4 linked regions of the Caenorhabditis elegans genome follow. The gene in region 2 interacts genetically with the main gene of each other region. Each region holds a gene or a part of one and is shown on either strand. Other genes may lie near its edges. The genes, in order: eor-1, mys-1, ksr-1 and lin-25.

The links.
Region 1: of mys-1 (region 2) and eor-1, changing one enhances a phenotype caused by changing the other (phenotypic enhancement), as found in Caenorhabditis elegans (one large-scale study listed by BioGRID).
Region 3: of mys-1 (region 2) and ksr-1, changing one enhances a phenotype caused by changing the other (phenotypic enhancement), as found in Caenorhabditis elegans (one large-scale study listed by BioGRID).
Region 4: of mys-1 (region 2) and lin-25, changing one enhances a phenotype caused by changing the other (phenotypic enhancement), as found in Caenorhabditis elegans (one large-scale study listed by BioGRID).

What each region holds. Positions count from the first base shown.
Region 1 is NC_003282.8:4,793,157-4,801,191, reverse strand, and holds eor-1 (Zinc finger protein), read left to right. Parts: upstream 1-2,004; 5' UTR 2,005-2,015; coding exon 2,016-2,097; intron 2,098-2,158; coding exon 2,159-2,439; intron 2,440-2,494; coding exon 2,495-2,608; intron 2,609-2,666; coding exon 2,667-2,809; intron 2,810-2,854; coding exon 2,855-3,028; intron 3,029-3,083; coding exon 3,084-3,341; intron 3,342-3,389; coding exon 3,390-3,463; intron 3,464-3,565; coding exon 3,566-3,750; intron 3,751-4,524; coding exon 4,525-4,723; intron 4,724-4,779; exon of another isoform or gene 4,780-4,928; intron 4,929-5,179; coding exon 5,180-5,363; intron 5,364-5,572; coding exon 5,573-5,673; intron 5,674-6,324; coding exon 6,325-6,533; intron 6,534-6,583; coding exon 6,584-6,766; intron 6,767-7,195; coding exon 7,196-7,485; intron 7,486-7,547; coding exon 7,548-7,800; 3' UTR 7,801-7,998; downstream 7,999-8,035. Other genes in the region: dpf-7 (Dipeptidyl Peptidase Four (IV) family), read left to right, coding at 1-37, 88-449, 654-792, 840-956, 1,243-1,593.
Region 2 is NC_003283.11:7,081,004-7,086,306, forward strand, and holds mys-1 (Histone acetyltransferase Tip60 homolog), read right to left. Parts: upstream 3,660-5,303; 5' UTR 3,651-3,659; coding exon 3,512-3,650; intron 3,467-3,511; coding exon 3,289-3,466; intron 3,226-3,288; coding exon 2,880-3,225; intron 2,366-2,879; coding exon 1,670-2,365; intron 773-1,669; coding exon 755-772; 3' UTR 542-754; downstream 1-541. Other genes in the region: npa-1 (Polyprotein allergen nematode domain-containing protein), read left to right, coding at 359-451; VC5.2 (Laminin EGF-like domain-containing protein), read left to right, coding at 5,029-5,303. UniProt on the Caenorhabditis elegans protein: Probable catalytic subunit of the Tip60 chromatin-remodeling complex. Plays a role in acetylation of nucleosomal histone H4 and perhaps also H2A, probably acting as a component of the Tip60 histone acetyltransferase complex.
Region 3 is NC_003284.9:8,273,400-8,278,196, reverse strand, and holds the start of ksr-1 (Kinase suppressor of Ras A), read right to left. Parts: upstream 3,029-4,797; 5' UTR 2,979-3,028; coding exon 2,873-2,978; intron 2,831-2,872; coding exon 2,760-2,830; intron 2,119-2,759; coding exon 1,942-2,118; intron 788-1,941; coding exon 697-787; intron 1-696. UniProt on the Caenorhabditis elegans protein: Serine/threonine-protein kinase which positively regulates Ras-mediated signaling probably acting at the level of let-60/ras or/and lin-45/raf. Involved in sex myoblast migration.
Region 4 is NC_003283.11:12,648,156-12,652,967, reverse strand, and holds the start of lin-25 (Protein lin-25), read right to left. Parts: upstream 3,044-4,812; 5' UTR 3,012-3,043; coding exon 2,979-3,011; intron 2,909-2,978; coding exon 2,794-2,908; intron 2,747-2,793; coding exon 2,664-2,746; intron 2,617-2,663; coding exon 2,507-2,616; intron 2,457-2,506; coding exon 2,369-2,456; intron 1-2,368. UniProt on the Caenorhabditis elegans protein: Participates in the inductive signaling pathway downstream of let-60 Ras and the RAF/MAP kinase cascade to regulate specification and differentiation of many cell types. Positively regulates the fate of vulval precursor cells.

The sequences.
Region 1 (8,035 bases), on a different chromosome or scaffold from region 2:
GCATTTATTGTTTAACACGAATTACAAGAATCAAGTGGTAACAAATATATTCGATTTAATTCTGCATTAAAATAAATTTATTTCCAGAATAATTTGGCGATTCACGTTGAAAGTTTAAGAACCACGTGCCTTGACTTGAAACGGCCTTCACTAATTATTGATGTTCGAGGCGATGAATTCCTTTTTGAAACGATCACAGCAAACGCTTATTCTCGTCTTTGGCATTCTCAATTGGGCTCACAAAGTGATGGTAAATTCACGGCATCGCTGTTATGCACACACAAGCCAGAAAACGATACGATTCACAATTTTCACATTTATCCAATGAGTTTTCAAAAAATTGGCAATTCTGCGATACTCTACATGTTGCCGGAATGTGTTTCTCCCGGATCGAAGTTCCCGCTGGTCGTGGTCCCCTTTTCCGGATTAGAACCTAATTTCACCGTTAGGTAGATTTTTTTTCTTTAGACTCAAAATTTATTGAAAAATCAACAAAAAAAGCATCGAAAGAATTGCAAAATTCACGGATCGAGCTTTCAATTTCAACCGCAATTTTCTATCTTTATTTTTTTAATTTAAAAATGTTCAAATAGCAATTTTCCCTGTTTATAAAGAATTGATTTATAAATTTAAAATTAAATTTAAATTTTCAGTACCGTTGACCCTGTGCTCTCTACAATGGTAACTTGTGGCTTCTGTGTGCTAGTTGTAAACTATCGGGAGCCATTTATAGCAATTCCAGGAACCTGCTTTCCAAAGAATTGTGGTTCGGAATGTATTAATGATGTTCATGTAGAGAATCGTTCGTTTTTTTCCTCATTTTATGATTTTTTTTACAGGAAACTGTACTAGAAGTTCTCGAGAGACACGGAGCGCGGTTAGATGAAAAATATATTTACTTGTATGGATTTGAATTTGGATCTTTTGTGGCGTGTAGTCTGATTATCAAACATAAGGTGGGATATTACATCGACGCGAGATTCTGCGATTTTTGGTGAAAAATACAATACCCGGTTTCGACACGACATGTTTTCTTCAGAAATATTTTGAAAGTTTTATTGATAGATCCGTCAGTTTTGCGACATTATAGTTAAAAAAAAACAAAGTCTCTGATTTCGGTACTCCACCTTTAACTTTCAAAAAATGTCGTGTCGTTACCCCGATATTTTTCTATTTTTGGCACGAAAATCACAAAATTTAGCGTCTCATGGATTTTCATATTTTTTAATTCACTATTTTCAGAAATTCTATAAAGGATGTGCACTCGTACGGCCGATGCTCGAATTTCCATTCACAACGTGTGCAGTTGATACAGAAAACCCTGAAGCTGAATTTCTGAAAGACGTGGAGCCGGTCTCACATGCGTCTGAAATTGTTACTCCGATGTTGATTGTTCTGGAGAATAAAAGCGATACAAAGTACAAAGATTTTGAGTCTACAATTCACAATAATGGCGTTCCGTGTTTTGGAGAATACGAAGAAGAAGACGAACAAGTGAATGATTTCGTTGTGAAAGTCATTCAATTTTATAGAACACCATATGGAGAATACGAGAATGGTTCTAGAATTGAAACGCCGGTTCCTGATGATTAATTATTTATTTTTTCTTTCTTGAATTATTACTAACTTATATTGTTAATTCATTAAAAAAACGCCGATTAGAACAATGTCTACATCAGCTTTAATTCGTTGTTAAAATATGTTACAAATTGGAATTTCGCTCAGTTTTAAATTTTTTATGTGTCGTTATGCTCAGATATATATTTTCTTTTTTTGAAATCTCGAATAAAATTTGAATTTCGTTAAATATATAACTATCGTTAAAAATCCATTGAAATAATATTTGCAAATCGATAATCTTTTAGATTGTTCAGTAGAGCGCGTCTGCACACTCCTCACCCGATTTGAATCGGAGCATTTATTCTAAGTTTATTGACGTCTTCCTCGATAAAATGTGAGTTTCCCATCGAATAAATTATAAAATCGCAATGAAAATTATTTCAATTTAATTTCAGATGACATTAGTAGCTAGTTCCGAAAACACAGGGCTCTGTCCAATGACATTTGATGATAGTTCTGGGCAAACCAGTCATATGTGTAAGAGTTTTGTATTTAATTCAATCTTGGCTTGATAATTAAATTAACTTTTATTTTTCAGTGTTCCAACGATTACAATATCAACGAAAAACCGGCCGATTTTGTGATGTGGAAATTGTTGTTCAAAACAAATCATTTGCGGCTCATCGAAACATTTTAGCAGCTCACAGTCCATATTTTGACGCAATTTTCAAATATTGCAAAATCACAAAGGAACAGCTCACAATAAATAGCAAATCTCCACAAGTTTTCGAGTTATTCCTCAATTATATGTACAGTGGAACAGTGATTATCGATCGATCAAGTGTTTCGGAGCTATTGAGATTTGCAAATAATTTTCTGGTAATATTATTGATTTTTCGATCGACTATTCCTGCTATAATTCCGTTTTTTTCAGATAGTGAAGCTAAAAGTGTATTGTGCAGCTTATTTGGATCGATATCTAGACGCGGCCAATTGCTTATCAATACGAACGTTAGCTCAGAGATATAATCTACCAGGACTTGTGAAAGTAAGAATTTGAATTTTTAAAGCTTTAAAAGCGAGAAACTTCGAATTTCTTTTTTCAGTCTGCTACAGACTACTTTGACAGCAATCTTAATCGATGTTTACTGGAATCCAGAGATATAATTGGTTACACGTATACACAACTGACAAGACTCATTGGAGATCCGAAATACGTGGATTGTATTACTTCTGACACTTATTTAAAGTGAGTTTTTTCGTTCCAAAATGACTAAAACAGTAATTTTTTCAGATTAATAGTCCGCTGGGTCGGTGAAGAAGTATCGAAGCGAGAGGAAATCTTCCGATTACTACTAGAATCCTGCGAATTTCGAGAAGTTTCAGCTGACACACTGGAATTTCTTCTGGATTACTCGCCGTTGCTATCGAAAAGTCAGAAAAGTCGATTTTTGCTACTACATGTCATGTAAGTGGAGTTGTTAAAGTTTACAAAATTATTACTGATGAAATAATTTTTGTAGGGAAACAAATAACATGCTTATGGAAAAGTACTCGACTCAACTGAGCAGTCTTCGTCAGAAAATCGTTGATCTTCCGATTCTCCACGATCCATCTCAATTTGAAGATGATATTTATGATTCAAGTGATTCTGAAGAGGATCCAGATGATTATATAGCTGATGGACATCCAACATCTGCACAAGTTGTTGAATACGGAAATGATGTTAATAATCGACTGAAAATGAAGATTGCATTCCAGCCGGGAAATGAGAAGAAGCGGTTAGTGATTATATGAAAAAATTGATAAAATTCAATGGAAAATTTTAGATTAAAACGACCAAAAGGAATGAAAAAACATCATTTGCACCCAATTCCACCGATTAATGCGACGGAAAATGAAAGTGAGCTGGTTTTTTTTCTCAAAAAAAAAGGGATTTTGTGAAATTGTAAAATCAAAAATTGAAGAAATCTTCTGTCAAATTCCTTATCAATAAAATTTCCAGGTATTCCATGGATCGACGAAGACGAAATTGATGGTGTATATGCTACATGTTCATTGGAAGGATGTCATACCTATGGACCAGTTGACAATTTGGATCCAGATGATTGTGAAGATGAAGAAGATCAACCTGATGAGAATGGACCGTCCACTTGTATTTTCTGTGGACTGCGGACTGCAAATGAGGAGGTATTGACAAAAAATAAATCAATTAAAACCTTGAAAAAATGCGAAAAAAATATTATTTTTCTCAAATTTAAACCGTCAATATGATTTATTCTATTTTTAGACGTCAAAAAGGTCTCGACACACCGAACAATGGGCTACAGTAACCTGTTGTCGGTGTGGTGAGACCTGACCAGATTTTGGCGAAAATTTCATATTTTGGCGTTTATTTAATATACAAAACTCGACACGACGATTTTTGGCTACATCAAGAAAATTTACGCCTTTAAAGATTACTGTATTTTCAATCTGAGGAGTTTTTATCGATTATTTTTAGTTTTTCGATAAAATATATTTATTTATCAACCAAATATTCCGAAATTTAAATAGTTTTTAAAAAGCTTAAATTTTAGAAAAAAAAACTATGAAAAATCAACAAAAACACCGTACAGTAATCTTTAAAGGCGCATAATTGTTTTCGGTTCTAACGAAAATTTGTCGTGTCGAGACCAGGCTCGAAAATTGCAAATTTTTGTGTCTATATAATATATATCTTTAAAAATATTTTTTTAAAGAATTACAGCACAATTTGGAAACTTTCATGCATAATTTATTTTTTTAAAAATATTTTGATGTAAAGTTCCATATTTTGGGAAAATGTAAAAACAAACTCGTGTACGAACGATCTTCTGCTGGTTTTATGAGTTTTATGTTCCAAAAAACCAAAAAAAAAAAAAAACCAGAAAAGTGTTGTAAAATATTTCGATCGATTCTTCAACAATTTCCTCATATTTTCAGCTTCTCGAAAAGCACAAAGCTCGTCATCACAATCGCAATACGTATTATATGTGTCATTTATGTGAATTTGAAACCAATTGGAGCAAACAATTCTATCTTCATTGTGCTGAGCACTGGACAGAGATACCGTATCGATGTGAAACGTGTCCGTTCACTTCAAATGAGATACAAGAGTTTTTGACCCATAGGCTTCAGCATAGTGAGTTTTTACAAAAATTTTGGAAAAAAACGTACATTTTTTAATTTTGAAAAAAAAACTCTTTTTTTTTGAAACTACAAAAAAATTAAATGTATTTTCAGATAAATCGTTTCTTTTTCTGAAATTCACAATGTTTCTTGAAATATAAACCTATTTTCATTTAAAAAACCAAATTATGAAAATTAATTTTTGTAAAAAAATTGATCGATAATGTTTTTTTCATATTTTCAGAATTTACCAACAATATCAATTTAAATTTTTAATTAATCTCCAAAAAATCGAATGAATAGCTAAGCTTTCAATTTTCTGTTTTTTTTTTAAATTTACCATCAGACACACGTTGACTTTGCCGAAGGAAACACATTAAAACCGAAAAAAAACGGCTGAATAAAATTGTTTTCCAAAATTACTTTCTAAAAGAAACAAAAAAACCCTCTAAAATTGTCAAATTTTCAGCCGACGAGCGTTTCTTCAAATGCGGTGAATGTGCATGGAAAGGTCGAACTCGTTCTCAACTGTTTGCTCACGAACGAATGCATTCTGTACTCGATGATCGATCATTACACTGTGAAGAGTGTGGAAGAGGATTCCAACAGCATAGTACATTGGATCATCATGTTGCTAGTCATAATGATCCTAGGTAAGTTTTTACTATGAAATTTCGAGATCTGAAAGTTAATAATGTGCGAATTTGAAATAAAAAACCATGCAAGATCTGATTTTGAGGCAATTCCAATTTTGCTAGTAACGTTTGGAGGCAATAATAATAATTGTCTCAAAACCAAACAAGGCGACTTTTATTCAAATTCAGAATTTTCACAATTTCCATCAAATTCTTCCAAATTTCAGGCCTTATATCTGTGAGGATTGCGGTTTCGCCACCAAAACCGCCGATCATCTTTCCCTTCATCGTCGTCAACATACTGGAGACAATTTTAGCTGTCACATTGGTCAGTTTGTATTTCCTGTAACACCACGCATTGGAATACACTGAATGCCAGAATAGTTCCGTTATCACCTGCCAACCGATCCATCATTTGGATGACTTTTGCGCAGTTCACTTCTACTTTTTTCCAACCAAAAACCCCCCTCGCTGCGTCTCCTTATCACCCGTACTATTCCATTAATTTTCGTTTCTCCTTGGCGACACAGCGCCGCCTTTTCCGCACAAAAAATGGTCGAAAAAACGAAAGAAAACGGCGGCTGAAGATAGAAACAGTGGTTAGATCATCTGTGGATCATATCACTTTCACTTTTTTTTTCTGCCGAACACACACTGGGGTACTGTAGGTATTTGGTAATGGTTTTATCGTCGCGCTCGACATAAAATCATTTCGACGTGTTTCATTAGTTTTTGCGCTTTTGCAGAGAACTTTTCTCAGAGCTTCTTCTTCTCCAATGCAGGGCCTTTCCCAGCTCGCTTCACGCTGTGCGTAATTTTTTCGAGTTTTTAAACATGGAGTATTGTTTAAACAGCTATGGAGTTGATCTGAGCAATTTTTTGTTATTTTTCCTATAAAATGACATATTTAAAGATCCTGAAAACTACACTATAAAATGACATATTTAAAGATCCTGAAAACATTACTGTTAATTTTCAGCCGGTTGCGACTACTCGTCGACCAAAAAAAGCCAACTGGCGGCCCATCTCCGTACCCACATGGCGGTTCGCGCCCATCTCTGCAAGATCTGTGGCCGTGGATTCATCGAAAAATCACATCTGGTCCGTCACGAGAGGATTCATTTGGAGGAGAAGCCGTTCAAGTGTGATCAGTGTGAATATGCATCTAGTCGGCGTGATAAGCTTAAGGTTTTTGAGCATTTTAGATGATAATTTTTGATAATTTTCATAATTTTTAGGAGCACATCATCAAGCATCACAATTCGGAAGTGCTCACATTCCAAAAGACTCAACGAAGAAAGTATAAGAGACAGAGAATGTTGGCTGCCGCGAGCAATATTGTGAATAATCCGGATGCTCTGTTCCGTCCAATTACTTCTGATGATGCTGTTAGCAATTGGCAGGCTACTAATGACTTTTCGGTAGGTTTATTGAATTAACGAAGAGCCAAGCGACAGAATTTCTGAAATTTCGCCAATTTTTCCTTGTCGAAGCAGCTGAAATATAGTTTCTTTCAAACTATAACCCGTTATTGCATATATTTTCGGTACTAGATCTTGCTTAAATTCGCCGATTTAGGCACTATTAAAGTCAATAAGCATCCAATTTTGGTCATATTATGCCAATATTGATGATTTTTGGATGCCTATCGACTTTAAAAGTGCCTAAATCGGCGAATTTCAGCAAGATCTAGTACCGAAAATATGCAATAACGGGTTATAGTTTAATAGAAACTATATTTCAGCTGCTTCGACAAGGAAAAATTGATGGTTTTTGGGATTTTTGAAAAATCGGCCGTTTGGGGTTATACAAACTTAGAATCTAGAAATTTCTCATTTATCAATTTCCAGACGTACTCTCCGAATCCCAACGATTACGGTGGACCATCAACTTACGGCAACCCTTCATCTCCTCAGCGTGCCTTCTCAGTCGTTCATCCATCTCAACATCAACATCATGCCCAATCACCTGGCTGTATGTCTATGATGAATGTTCCATTACGGGACAATCATCATCAGATGCAGCGACAGGATTCACCGGGAGATTCTGTTGGAGGTGGTCAAGGAGGTGGTGGTGGTGGTGGACCTGAAGGATCAGACAATACACATGGAGTTTTGATGACACCTAACTTGGTGATGAGGTTTGTTACCTGTAAATTTTGCAAAAAGCAGTGCCGCATTAATTCTAAACATTATTTTCCAGATCTCCACATAACCGGAGTGCTGTCCAACCGCAATTCAACAATCTCTCCACAAACTCTGATCCACAACAACAGCAGCAACAACAGCAACTCCGTCCATTCTCACTTCCAACCTACGGACAAATGGATTTGGCTCAGGCGGCTCAACTCCAGCAACTTCAACAACAACTACAAGCAGCCGGGCTTCCACCGACTGGAACCCCGAATAATCAAGATAATTCCAATAATGCATGGAATCCGTGGAATGTACAATAATAAATATAGTCCTGAAACTGCCTAAAACCTCACTTTTGAAAAAACCCCTTTACTATCTTTGCCTTTTCTTGTAACATGTTTCAAATTGTTCTTAATGCCTTCATTTTGATATGTGTATGATCTCCTTGTTTAATGCCTAATTAGTCCTAAATGGTTTTTATGGTTATAAATAAATTTATGAAATTATAGATGACATTTTTAACTGAAACATTGTTTTATTTTTCTTCCAGACCAC
Region 2 (5,303 bases):
CAATGCCAAAGGAAAACGCTCCGCCTCCTAACGTTAGGTCTCGGTAGGAGGCGGCGAGACTGTAAATTCAAACTTTTTCACTATTTTTTCGATTGTTTTTTGTTGTTTTACATATTTTTTATGTCGAAATGATGTTTAAAATACTTGTCGTTTCGAAATTATAATATAGTCAGAAATAACCGAAAAAATAACAAATTCCTAACGGGACCCAACGTTTAGGGGCGGAGCACTTTTCGTTTTACATTGGAGCGCGCTTTCGCTTAGATTTCAAAAAACTCTATAATATACAATTTTGGATTTTTTTATTCAGATTGTTAAAAATTCGAGTCCTGAAATTAATTTTTTGAATATCTTTCAGGTTGTCACTGGCTGCAAGCATGTCTACGCCTCAACTCGTTCCCGCCGTGATCTGATCGCTCAGGCGGTTGCCGAATATCTTCAGAACGCTTAATGATTAGAAAACTTCACTTTTGCAGTTATAAACTTACTTGTCTATATGATGAATTTTAATTATTTGAACTGCAACAAGAAGATTATGAAATTCAAGAATAATTTCATTAAAAAAATAAGTGACTAATAAGTCAAATTATTACACAGAACAAATGAAATGAAATGAGGCGTACGCTCTCTGAGCGGTGTGGGAATGATAAAGGGATAGCGTAAGCTTTTCGGTGTGTAGATGCGAGATAAAACGGAGTGTTATATTTTAATGTACAGGTTGAGATCGTCGTGGCGAGAACACATGTCGTTGTTGCTAGAACATGATCTGCGCCTGAAAAAAAAGTTCATAAAATAATTTAAAGATATATTCCCGGAGACTTTTTGCTTTTGTGCCGGTTTTTCGATTTTTGGATATTTCGAAAAAAATTGCGAGAGTTCAAAAATTATTTAAAATCTGCCACTATTCTTTTTTTTAGAAGAATAGTATGTTTTGTGAAAATATTTCTATTTTTTTTCGATTAAAAAATCGAAAAAGACAATTTTTTAGTTTTTCGGAAAATCGAAAAACCGACATCCTTGTTACTGTTTAAATACCTTATTAAAACTAAAATAATTAAAATAAATTTTTCTTTTAAAACTTAAAAACATTGATTTCTATTTTTTTTTCTCATCAACATATACAAAATTTGATTTAAAAAAACGGTTTTTTAAAAATAAATTTCTGAAAAGTTTTTTTTTTAATTTTTCAGTTTTCCGGACGTTCCAGATTTTTCAAAATTACAATTTGGTTAAAATTAGGTTTATTTTTTTTCGTTTTTTCGAAAAAAAATTCGCAAAAACTGAAAGATTTGAGTTATAAATTTTTGATAAATTTAGTAAAAAGAAAAATGATTTTATTAGAAAATTTCAATTTTTTGACACTGTAAACCAGTATTTCCATTTTTTTCCTTAGTATTTAGTATTTCCAGTGTTTAGGTGTTTTTTTTTGAAAAAGAGCAAAAAACTGGAAAAAAATTGTAGGGTCAAATTTGCTCAAAAAAGTGCAATTTCTGTTGTTTGTATGAAATAGGGCGTAAACCGTTTTTTTTTAAATTTTTTTTTTGGTTCTGCCAAAAACGAAATTGTTTTTTTTTGGTTTTTTGAAAAAAAAATGTTATCACGAATTTAATTTAATTTTAATTTTCAGTTTTTAGCCGTAAACACGAATTTTTGATTGAAAAAAACTCACTCTTTTCTTTCCGTACTCTTTGGGTCGCCATTGCAGAGCTGCTGGATTAATTCGTGTCTTCTTTTTCGCAGCCTCAATCCGTTTCTCATAAACTTGACGCTTTTCATCACTAATCACAATTATGTATGATCCCTTATAGTATTTGTATAGATCAAGTTGCTGTAACGTTGACACAACATCTTCTCGTTTAATCGATGTACTTTGTGAAATGTCCTGAACTGTGATATCTTCGCCTGGATGTCGTCTTTTGAATGCGAAAAGCTCTTTCATGATGGCCATTGACCAGTACGATCGATATGAGAGAAGTCCCAAATCTGATAGTGGTTTTTCGGGTGATCCTGTCTTCTGTTCAATTTTCGAGAGTTCATAGCTGAATTCGATGAGCAAACTTCCGTATCCTTTCTTTTGAAATGGAGGTAACACAAGAATACACGCAACATTATATTCTTCAGCTGATTCTTTTTCTTTTGAAAAGTATCCAACTATATGATGACCCTTCTCGTCTTCTTCGGTTAGCACATAGAACAAAAATGGATCCGTGTCATAGTAAAGAGTCTTGTGATCCAGAAAAAGTTTGGCAAGCAGGCATAGATTCTGAGCATAGCTTTTGTTTTTGCGGCCGTCGATTTCAAAAAATGAAAGTTTATCGTGACTGTAGATTTGATTGCCAGGTGGGTGACACATTGCACATTTTTCCTGAAATAAAATTAATTAGAATTGGGCATTTTAATTAAATGATAGAAAATGAAGAGTATGGACCGAATGTAATTGTTTAAAAAATTAAAAATTTGTCTATTTTTTACGTTTTTTTTCCATTTTGCAAAATAGAAAAAGTAGCTGATTTTAATTTGAATTCCCACGCAGAATAATGGCCTATTTGCGAAACTTTTTTGATTACGATAAATTTGGTTTGAAACACCGTTTGTGAATTTTTTTTTCGTTTTCGCAAAAAAGTATTTCAAAAATGCAATTTTTGGAGCAAATTCCCAGAATTTGCGATTTTTTTCGATGCCGGAAAATTTTAAAAACATTGTTTCAAAACTAATATCAACGGAAAAAGCAAGAAAAACCGAAAAATTCAGCCAAAAACACACAAGAACTCGAATTTTTTCGAATTCACCGATTCTTTCATTTTTGGAAAATTGAAAATTTTTGAATTTTGAAAACAGTTATTTATATTCGGTCATTTTCTATAACTCGAAACACTCACCATGTGCCGTTTCAGACAAGTTTTCGACTTTAGATATTTCAGACAAAATTCGCAAATATAAATACAATCCAAACTTGTCAATTGTTGTGGATAAGGTGCAAAGTACCATGGCTGAATTCGTGATCTTCCTAGTTCAATGCATTCGACATTTCGGATCCTTGTCATTGCATCTTCACTATGGCCGACCATCGACATGGAACCTCGAAGACTTGGAGTAGATCCGCTGGTCATCGTTGAAATTGCTTGTAATGGATCTACGGATTCCGCCTTGAGATCATCCATCGGAAGTAGTGGAATCTTTCGTTTTCGGCCGCTTTTCTTTCCTTCATTTTCATTCGAATCTCGACTGAAATAATTATGAATTGATAAAACTATTTAAAATCTTTTGAAAAGTTTATAGATTTCTCACTTTTCTTCCCGCAAGTGTGCTCCTTTCTTTCCTCCTTTTTTTGGTAGCTCACACGACGCTAAATTGAGCCTATCAGACTGAACCCATTCGTCAAGTCTTCGGTTGCAATCGATATAATGGACATAGAATTTAATTGAACCATTTGCAGCTCGGCATCTTGAAATAACTTCGGCCCATCCTGAAAATAATTGGAAAATGTGTTTAAATAGATGTAAAAACTAACTTTCTTCTTCTTGTGAAGCCATCATGACCAATAACCGGCATCCCTCTGTAACTTTCTCGTATTGCCTGGGATCTGTTGGTATTTTCTTGGATATTCCATGATTTTCGTCCTCTATAATCTCCTTCTTCGGCTCGGTCATGATAAATATCTGGAAATAGTACAATTTTGTGTGAAAAATTCAATATTCAATAATATAGCAATCAAATGTGAACGATAGTACTTTCTTGCGTGCATAATCCATGAACAACATCTAAAAATCGATCCAAAAATGAACAAACTAGTTTTTTAATTTTAAAATAATATTATCCGTTGTTAGTTTTACTATTTTATCAATAAAAAACTTTAAAAATGCAAGAAATAATTGTGAAATCATGCTCGAAAAAAATAAAACGCGCCGGCTGGCCTAGAAACCAACCTCGGCCGCACTGCGCCGGCCACAGGGAAAAAGGGCGGCAATTCAAAAAAGAATAACAAGGGTGGTTGAAAATTGACCGCGGCATAACGTTTCAAGGCAATTATTTTGCGAAATGATCTTGAATTAAATTATTCGAATTGAAAAATAGTTATTTATAATGTACGATTGTACTTTCAAAAAAAAAACGATCACAAGAAAATTAGGAAAACGCAAATTTTTGAAGATGCTTAAAAAATGAACTGAATTCAGTGGTAAAATTTCAGATATCTAGATGTCCATTGCACTGTTGAGCCACGAACAAAAAAATTTAAATCAATGCTGCGCGAAAAGGTGTGCGCCTTTAAATGGTACAGTAGCCGAGTTATTGTTCACGAGATTTTCTCTGAAAAACATAATTTTGTTGAAAACCGAAATTGAAAAGCATGAAAAATGAAAATAAAACAGCAAAATTTTAGCTTAAAAAATCTAGGAAAAATCAAAAATCGAAGAAAGTTGCGAAATAAGAGAGAATGGATTACTGTACTTTTTCATCAAATTCCAAGTTTCCAACTTCAATTTTTCCTACATACTTTCGAGTCATGTGTTGCAAGAATGTATCGGTCTTGACCCTGCAAGCTTTAGATTCAAATGAATTCCTTCAATTTCAAAATTCAAATGTTACATTCAAATGTTGAATCCGGCATCATCGGAGCAACTACGAAGCACACAAAAAATCCGAAAACAAAAAATCAAATATCAAAAAGCGACAAGTGACAGGATGAGATGAAGAGACGAAGAGTTGAAAATCATTGAACTGATTGAACGCGTCACATCAAAACACCTGTTCGAACAAGATTGATAAGAGAGCCTCTTCCTCGTTTATTTTTCCTCTTTTTCTTATTATTCTTCCTTCTTCTTCTTCCCATTTTCCGATCATTATGATTATCATAACACTCGTGAAAGAATACGACCTTCTTTGTAATCTATATATCTTTTTCGTCATTTCTTTTCTCTTTCGATCACAGAAAGTAATTGATCGTCGTTTCAGGTTTACCGCCGTCTCCGTTTACTTCTACTATTTTCCATTTTCAATTAGAGAAGACGGTTTGACCCATACTCTATCATGTCACTATATTTTATACTAATTGTTACTATAATAATCCCACAATTTGAATTTATTCATTCACCTTTATCTGAAAAGGATATTGTTACATTCCGCTTCAATTTGGTAAATCGTCTTGATCAGTGCACATTATGGAGATCAAAACTAGATAAAAAAGTTTCAAATACGTTAGATCATTTTTTAATGAACTCAAAGTTTGATGAATTTCGAGAAGCATCTACACAATTAGCTGCAGATATATACCCGGAAAGTATTGACTGCCTTGACTCTTGCTC
Region 3 (4,797 bases), on a different chromosome or scaffold from region 2:
TTTGCTGGTTCAATGTGTATCATTACACTACATTTTAAAAATTTTAATTTGAATAAAAGAATAAGGTTGATTTTTTAATTCTCAGGCTGCTTAAAGTATTAATTCTAAAATTAACAAATAAACCGAAAACGACGTTTGAAGGCGGACTCCGATCTGCGGGGGAAGTTTTTCAAAACCATTCCTATGGTACAAAAATAATCAAATATACCATAATAAAATTATTCCAAAAACTTTGGAAAGTTTTTTTTATTTAAAATCAAAAAGCTCAATACTAAATGGTCACCAGTTTTTGCGGAAGTCCTCCATCATAAAATTTTCCATTTTTTATTTCAATTACATTCAAAATATTCAAATTTTAAAATGTATGGGGTTTGAACATTTGACAGTGATTTAAATTTTCAAGAAGTGGAGCAAACTCAGTATAAAATATGCTTCAAAATTGTTTTAATAAAAACCGTCTTGTTTTTTTTTAATTTTGCAGTTACCATCTCGGGATTGATTAAAGTTAAATTTTAAAGTTTGATTAAAAAATGTCAAATTACTGGTTTTGAGACTATAAATTTTTATGAAAATAACTAGAAAAGTAAGGAATTTTGAGAACATTTTCAAAAAATAACAGTTGCAAAATTTTCGTGGCAAGAATTATTTTCTTCTACATTTTACTTAATACAAATTTTCAAATTGCCGCACACTTACCGTTCCAGTGATTTTGTAAAATCACTGTAGATTGAAGCAACTTTCGTTTGGTCTCCACATCAAGACGACCACGATCCGCAAGCGATCGCAACTGAAATAAACTTTTATGTTTGGGTTCAAATGTTCAGAAGGCGGAGCACAGAGAAACTCGGTTAAAAGTAATGAAACGAGCAATAGAAGTTTGATAACATGCAGACAAGAGTGAAAACAACTCGTAGAAATGTAACAGGTGTTGTTGGAACACGAATGACGTTACCGAGTATACGGAGGCAATGCAAAAAAACAAAAACGTGTATGCTTTGGATCGCTAAAAACAATGAATGTTCCAGAAATGCTTCAGCATAGTTGTTCTCACAAAAAACATTCATTCAAAATCAACTCTAATATTTTGGCCAATTATCATATGAAAGGCCACTTGAAGTTTTCAAGTTTTGTTTCGAATTCAAATTTAACAATTGATTTGTTCAATGTTGTTGTAAATTAAATGGTAAAGTTATCTTAAAAAATTTGACAAATCAAGTTTTAAAAAAATCTTCAATGAAAAAAAGGAAATTTTTAAATCTGAAAAATTACCAAACTAGTTGATTTGTCAGATAAAAGTAAGACAAATTTCATTTCGAAAAACACTTCCTGCTGCAAAATGACTAAATGAAAAGTCGAAACTCAAATTCAAACAATTACGAAATGAGATGATAAAAATCAGTCAGATACATGACTTATGCATGTGCTAGCTGAGAGAAAGTTCGTGAGTCTTAAAAAACAACAATGAGCAGAATATCAATAGGTAACAATTAACCTAATCCTCTTTTTCTGTTTACTCTTCTTTTTTTGGATAACAAATTAGCTCACAAAAATCAGGAAAAAAACGGAGAGAGCTGCAGTTTTCTGGCCTCTAGAGAAAGAGAAGAGTGGGAAAGGAAAGGAGAGAAATGCAGAAAGTAGAAGGTGAAAAGAAAGAAAGAAGAGACGGAAACAGAAACGGAAAAACGAGAGGGAAAGAGCGTCAAAGCGCACTCCCAAACACCCCAAACCAATGGGAAGCGTAGAGGGAAATGAAAAGAAGTTTAAGAATAAAACGATAATGTTGAAGGTTGTGACCCGAATCAGCAGAAAGACATTTAGAAGGATATAGATATGCCTAGAACCCGATTTGTGAGTGTTTGTATGTTTCTGTTAGGTGTAAAATCAGGAAATGATGTGTGAGAAAAGAGAGAAAAGGTAGAGCAAAAAAGAGAAGGATCAAACCTCTTGGTTAGTGATGCTGAACAGAGCATTGAAATCGGTGATCGAGCAAATCTCCAAGTGCCGAATGTTTTGTGCGCTGAGCCCGACAAATGTGAACCAAATGGCGTTGATCTCACGCTTCTCGCGATCAATCAAACCAATTTTTGTCATTTGATAAACGGCCGAGAATATTTTGCGCTGTAAATTGAGAATCATTGGAATTTAGTTGACGTCAATGAAAGATTTCAGACCATTTGTTTCAGGTTGTTTCACCTTTTCATCTGTCTCTGATATCTTGATTACTAAAATTCGTAGAAAAAAAGAGTTACATTCACTTAAAGTTTTTAAATCTATTTTTTAAAAGCTTTGATATTTTGATATTTTTTCATATTCAAAATATCATAAACTCACTAAATTTAAAACATTTGAAAATCAACATTTGTTTGAAAGTAAGTTTCAGTTTTTCAAATATAACGATTAGCGTTTCATGCACGAAGTTGTGCATCTAAATTTTTAATTTTTTAAATTTATTATCAAAATACCATTATAGAATTTAATTATACAAATAAACTTTACAGTATAAACGGAAAACGTCTAGAAAAACGTTTAGTACCACAGATTGGTTTACCACAAAGATCTAAAACAATTTGGACTGAGGTGTCAATATATGTATAGTGTATTTTATGAACAAAACTTTAAAGCATCTTAAAAATTTTTTCTGCTGAATGAAGACTAGTCTGTCTTGAATTCATTTATTTACAGTTTATAAAACAACGATGCTCACGAATAGGAGAAGTTTGAATTTTTACAAAAGTTGTTTTTTTTTCAAAAAAACTTACTTCTACACTTTTTGCATCTTCTTCGTATGATGAAGTCAAAAATCGATTGATAGTGGTAAGTTTCAAACATTCTGCAACTTCGAATTGTTTTTTTTTAAATTTTTTTTACTAACCCTTCAAATTATTTATAGCCTGTGTCTTTATATCCTGTGCGATTCCTGCACCAAACTGCGGTAGATTACTGTATCCCGCACGTGATGCAACTTGGGTTTGCATCATTCTGTGTATTGATATTATTGGTTAGTTTTTACCTTCTCCGGATCTTTTCCCTGAAATAAATCTTTCGTTGGTTGAGCACAACGTTCAAAAGGTTGCCAAGAAAAAACAGTGCTGGTTTTTGGTCAACTTTTGGAAATCCCCGGTGCAAACGGAGCACGCTGTGAGCTCACACGTGCGCCACACTCTTTTTTGCTTGGTTTCTCATTTTGTGTATGTGTGTGTGTCGTCGCAATTATCAAATGGCTCCCTGTGAGCTCATCCTTCGTTTATGTATGTGTGGTAGTGGGAGCAGGGCAATACGAATGTATTTGGTGCTTTAGAAAGGCGTTAAATGACTAGAAAAGCAAACGAGCAAGTAATATTGAAAAGTGCCGAGTTTTTTCTGTTAGTATGGTTTGCATTCGTACTGTAAGGGAGCAAGACAATTAGAGAAAATATGTGTATGCCCCACAGTACAGTCAGAAATTTCAATTCATGAGTTAGTAAAATCTACAATATTTTCTTCCTACAAATTCCATCACAATTGGATGTTTACAATTCAAAGTCAAATTGCGATGACCAATATAAGTATGCTTACAGTTTGTTTACTATTACAACATCATCTACTCAAAAAAGGTGTGTATTAACCTTCTAGAAAAGTCGAAATCGTCCGGAAAGTAAATTAAAAGCTTTCGGCGGCTTTCTGCCATCGAAATTGTGAAGGTTGCGTGGCGAACAATTATGAGACAGGTTATGTACATTACTCAATTTAGAAGTGACGAGAAGAAAAGAAGAATTGGTATTTTCGACCACATTTTCTTTTCCGGTGGTTAGATTAGACTTATTACATCACAATGTCCCGATTTTTTTCAATGGCATTCTACTTTTATTTTGGCTTCTTTTGTTTCTTTAATTAGAATACTGTTCCAAATCCAATAATTGTACTCTACCAATATTAAATGTGTTTTTTTATTGAGTAGAAATATTCAACTATTTCACTTAAAAAATCGATTATCCTTTATCATCACTCCTAAGTAATTATAGTTTATCAATTTGAGTTTTACATTTTCCTAGCTTTGCGTATTAAAACTACCACAAATACAAAAATTAGGAAGCTTAACTTTTCTTTCTTTTTTAATTTTTCGCTTTCACATGAAATACCGAACAACAGTATGGCGCTTAAAAATTAAGCAATGCCGACCGAAAAGAGTAGTTGTGAGAAAAAATTGCCATAAGGCTTTGGTCGGAAGTTAAAAGAAACGTTGCATTCAAATACTGTTCAATATATTGGAGAAAATAATGCTAGAATGCTGAGAGTTGTGGAAAGAGAAAGAGGAAGAAAGATCGGCGTGCAAGCAAACAAACTGTTTGAACGTGATGAAGAGAAAAGGGGAGAACGGTGTGGATTGACAGTAGGAATAGTAGGAAAGGACGCAAAAATGTCGGGAAGACGGGAGGATGGGGGGAATAGTGTATGAATAAGAGAGAGAGGAGACTGTATGTCTATGGGGTGAGAGAAAATGGTCCGCAATGAGAAGACCACAACAGGTGTTCAAAATGTTGCGTAATCAACTTAAGAGTAGGTCAAGATTCATACCAGGAATGCATTGAACAAGCTTTTAGTTCCTGGTTTGCTGGCAGATCACAACTAATTTAGTGTAACATCTCGGCAAAGTCAACATTAAAAATGTTGTTCCTGCTCGATGAAAATTTTGAAAGTAATTATGGGTAGTTTGTTGAACGTGCCAAAAACTATGGTAAAGTTAGCCAAAAATTAGGGTAAAATATAAGTACTGAAGTAATAGCAATTACGTTTTAAAAGACGACTAATGGACCAAAA
Region 4 (4,812 bases), 5.6 Mb from region 2:
ATTTGAAAGTTACCTTGTAGCAGATTTTAGGTATAATTACAATTTCACTCTGAAATCAACATGAAAGTTTCATAGCTGTGTTCTTTTTCCAACTTTTGAAATATACTACTGTCTGAGCGGTTTTTAACTGAATCCGACGATATCAGAACGGGAAAATGAAATTTATGAAAATTTTCCAAACAAAACTATTTTGAAACCTTATTAGGCACTAATCAGTTATTGTAGAAAAATTCTCAATCTGTCGTTTTTGAAAACATTCCTGTCAACTTTGTGATTTGGCATAATAATAAGAAACTCGACAAGTAGGGCTCTATATACCCACATATCTTTTCGGACAGAGGGAATGCGAAAAATTAATCAATCGCAAACTTGTTAAGCTTAAGATAAGGAACACTTTTCCCGTGCAAACTATTTGAAAAAAAATCTGAATGGATCCAGATTCGAACCAGCAATGACTCTACTGAAGAGCGCGCGCTTTACCACTTCTCCAAACAGGCAAGTGGCGGCCGCGGTTCCAAGGAATATGTGAAACCAACCGAGCTGTACGAAGTAAGAAGCTTCCATTACTTTTTCAGATATTTAGTTCTGAAAACTTTGTCAACTCTCCTTATCAACAACTAAATGGTCCTTTTTGTAGTTATTTCTACTGGAAAAAAAGAGTGTGCCTGTAAATAATATCCTGCGTATAAACGTTGTTGTCCAGTGAAAACCTTCGCTTGACTTGAAATTTATCTTGAAAACTACTTTTTTTGAGTGTATTTTTAAACATTCTACAAATTCCACTTAATAGCAGCTCGGGAACTTCTGTGATTCATCGAATAAGCTATTTTCAAAAAAAAATTGGCCCAAAATTTGTTTCTGAAAAACGGCCCCAATCTTGTTTTTTTCCAGTAATAAATGCAATCTGAATTTTTTCGAAATTATTTTTCGCATGGAATGTCCTGTTTTTGGGTTTCAAACGCACTTTTTTGTCAATTTTGCTTTTTAAAAATATGAAGTGTCGTCGAATAAAATGCACGGTACGCAAAAGTACGCAAACACCGACATGTACCGTACTCCGGAATTTTTTCAATTTCGATCGAATTCGATTTGCCAATAACGAAAACGACGAAAACGTTACGTTTGAAGCCGGAAAATGGGATTTTGATACGAAAAATTATTTTAAAAAATAAACTTTTTATATACACTCTTGGAAAAATAAGAACTGTAGTGGTTTTTGAGAAAAAACATTTTAGGCCCAAAATTTAATTTCAAATGTTTCATTTCTGTATCTCGTATCAACATGCATGTACAATTTTCTAGAAATTTCAAGTCAAGGGAAGGTTTTCACTGGACAACAACGTTTATACGCAGGATATTATTTACAGGCACACTCTTTTTTGCCAGTAGAAATAACTACAAAAAGGACCATTTAGTTGTTGATAAGGAGAGTTGACAAAGTTTTCAGAACTAAATATCTGAAAAAGTAATGGAAGCTTCTTACTTCGTACAGCTCGGTTGGTTTCACATATTCCTTGGAACCGCGGCCGCCACTCGCCTGTTTGGAGAAGTGGTAAAGCGCGCGCTCTTCAGTAGAGTCATTGCTGGTTCGAATCTGGATCCATTCAGATTTTTTTTCAAATAGTTTGCACGGGAAAAGTGTTCCTTATCTTAAGCTTAACAAGTTTGCGATTGATTAATTTTTCGCATTCCCTCTGTCCGAAAAGATATGTGGGTATATAGAGCCCTACTTGTCGAGTTTCTTATTATTATGCCAAATCACAAAGTTGACAGGAATGTTTTCAAAAACGACAGATTGAGAATTTTTCTACAATAACTGATCAGTGCCTAATAAGGTTTCAAAATAGTTTTGTTTGGAAAATTTTCATAAATTTCATTTTCCCGTTCTGATATCGTCGGATTCAGTTAAAAACCGCTCAGACAGTAGTATATTTCAAAAGTTGGAAAAAGAACACAGCTATGAAACTTTCATGTTGATTTCAGAGTGAAATTGTAATTATACCTAAAATCTGCTACAAGGTAACTTTCAAATTCCAACTTTTGATATTCTTTTTTTCATTAGGTAGTAAAAAATCGTTAATCGTAGTAAAAGATACGAATCGTAGTAAAAAATCAAATTCGGAAACCGTAGTAAAAAAAACGGCCGTAGTAAAAGATACATTTCGTAGTAAAAAATCGAAATTGGAAAATGTAGTAAAAAATACGGCCGTAGTAAAAGAGTAAACCGTAGTAAAAGAGCAACGTAGTAAAAGATGAGGTAGTAAAAGAGCATTTGCCAATTTTGAACATATATTTTGGTAACCTTCAACATGTAAGCTTTTAACTTTAAACAACATTTATCGCTCGTTAAAAATACTAAAAATCTTACTTGTATCAGTTGCGCGAGGAAGAAAACAGTCGGCTTCATAATCGAAATAAGCTCATCTGCATGCAATTTATCAGAAAATGACTTGATTCTGAAATTAATAAACTTGGCAAAATTTTTCAATTAAAAATGCCAACTCACTGTACATAGTTGACCATTTCCCGGATCAATTCGCATTGCAAACATTTCGAATAAATTCTATCTGTTTTTGTATTTATCACACTGTGGATGACTTGATTCCAGGTGATTGACTGTAAATTTATAATTTTTTGGAATAAAACAAAGAACTACAGAGTACCTTATCTACGACAAGTTTGAGAAGATGGTCCCGGAAAACATCATCGATATATGTTCCATTATAAGCAAACCGAATCAAAATATCTGAATAAAATATATTAATACAATTACAAAAAAGAATTGCAACAAACCACAAAGCTGCTGAGTTGAGATACCGGGAAAGTCAACTGGACGAATGACTGATGATACTTTTTGTCGTTTTTCATTTGAGCAATTGCGGAGTTTGTCAATATATTCAATAACTATCTAAAAAAAAATTAAATACAAAATAAGTTTGTTGAAATTAAAATAAAAATTTATTTAAAAAAAAACTCACTTTTGTTGAACTATCAATTTTGATACTATTCATGATTTAATTGATTTAAATTTGAAGCATTTAAACTGTAACCAAAATATATTCAAACACCGACATTAACCCAATATTCGGTGCAATAGTATAAATGGATGTGAGACGTAGACACGCAATAGAGCGAGGTGGCCGAGTGTTTATTGTCCCCCACTACTTGGGGGACTAGGTACGATGCATTCCTCTTCCATTGTACATTTTCTGACATAGGAGGGATGTCTTCCTTCACTTCTCAGAGTCAATGAAAAATTGGGCGTGGACGGCATTTATTTTCAATGATTCTACACAATTTTCAGATGTAATAATCAAACTGCCACCCCAACAATCTCTTAAGACGATTTAATTCAGCTTCATTCACTTTTCATTTTCAAAAAAAAACTTTAAGCTTGTTTTAATTACTTGTTTATAAGTTACCATGGAAACATTACATTTTCTAAAATGTGCTTTGCACTCAAACTATAGTTTAAGTTTATATATAAACTTGGAAATAACAACTTTCAATATCTTGAGCATGTCTCAAATTATTTCATTCGTAATTTTCACTAGTGTTTTTATCAGACCCAAAGCCACTATTGTAAAAAAAAACTAGGCAAAACTTTCAGCCTTTCAAAGCTGGGTGCATCATTTTCTTCATCGGCCAAAAATCATGTTCTCGGCAGAGAGCAACTTAAGAAACAGGTGGAGGTTAAGTAAAACTTTGAGTGAAAATATATTTTTGAAGATAGATGAAAACTTGAAAATCGAAACACAAATACTCGAGGAACGTAAGAAGAAGGCTTTAAAGCTTCTTATCATAGGTACCTGATTAAAAAAAAAAACATAATCAAAATGTAACCTTTATTATATTTAGGTCCGGGAGAGTCAGGAAAAAGTACAATAGTCAAGCAAGTAAGGTAAATTCAATGAAAACTACATTTTTTCAGTTGCTTCCAAAAATTATCACCTACTCAGCTGATTTTCAAAATAATTAGATAATATATTATCGGTAGTTTGTAATATTGAAATTTTGAGAATTCTTCATTGTGGAGGATACAGTGTTGAAGAAAAAAGAGCTCTAAAACATGGAATTTATATAAATATCTTGGAAGGTATTGATGAGATACACTGGGCAATTATGTGGAGACAATTAATTTACGAAAATCCATCTTCAATTGTAAGTAATTACCGTATTTCCTCTATTAGTTTTGCACCCCTTTGCTCAACTTTGACAACTCATATCTCGTTTTGTTTTAAGCATATAAATAATTAACAAACTACAAACGTTAGAAAACATCTTGCAAAAATTTTATCAGTTGACAACTTTTTTATAAAACAAACGACTACTGAGATATGAGCTGTGAAAGTTGAGCAAAGGGGTGCAAAACTAATAGAGGAAATACGGTAAATGTTTCAAAACTAATTTCCATTATAGGAATGCCTAAATCAAATCCGAATATTTACGAAACAGTTCAATAAAACTGGAGAGACTGAAAATGTTTTGTGCAAAGACATTATAAAGTCTATCCAGATGTACATAAAAGATGAAACAGTTGCCATGATGTTGAGGAATAAAACTGTTTATAATATTGAAGACTCAACAATTCAGCAAGTTAAACGTTGGGTTTTATTCAGTCTAATTATTATTATTTCCAGTTTCATTGAAAACCTTGCAAGAGTTATTGGAAAAGAATACTTGCCAACCGGAGAAGATATATTGAAAACCAGAGTCCCAACCTTGGGAATTGCACAATATGAAGCAAATATAAAACATTTGACTTTCAAGTAACACTTTGTTCAGTTTGTTGTGGTTTTTGGAAGGAAACAA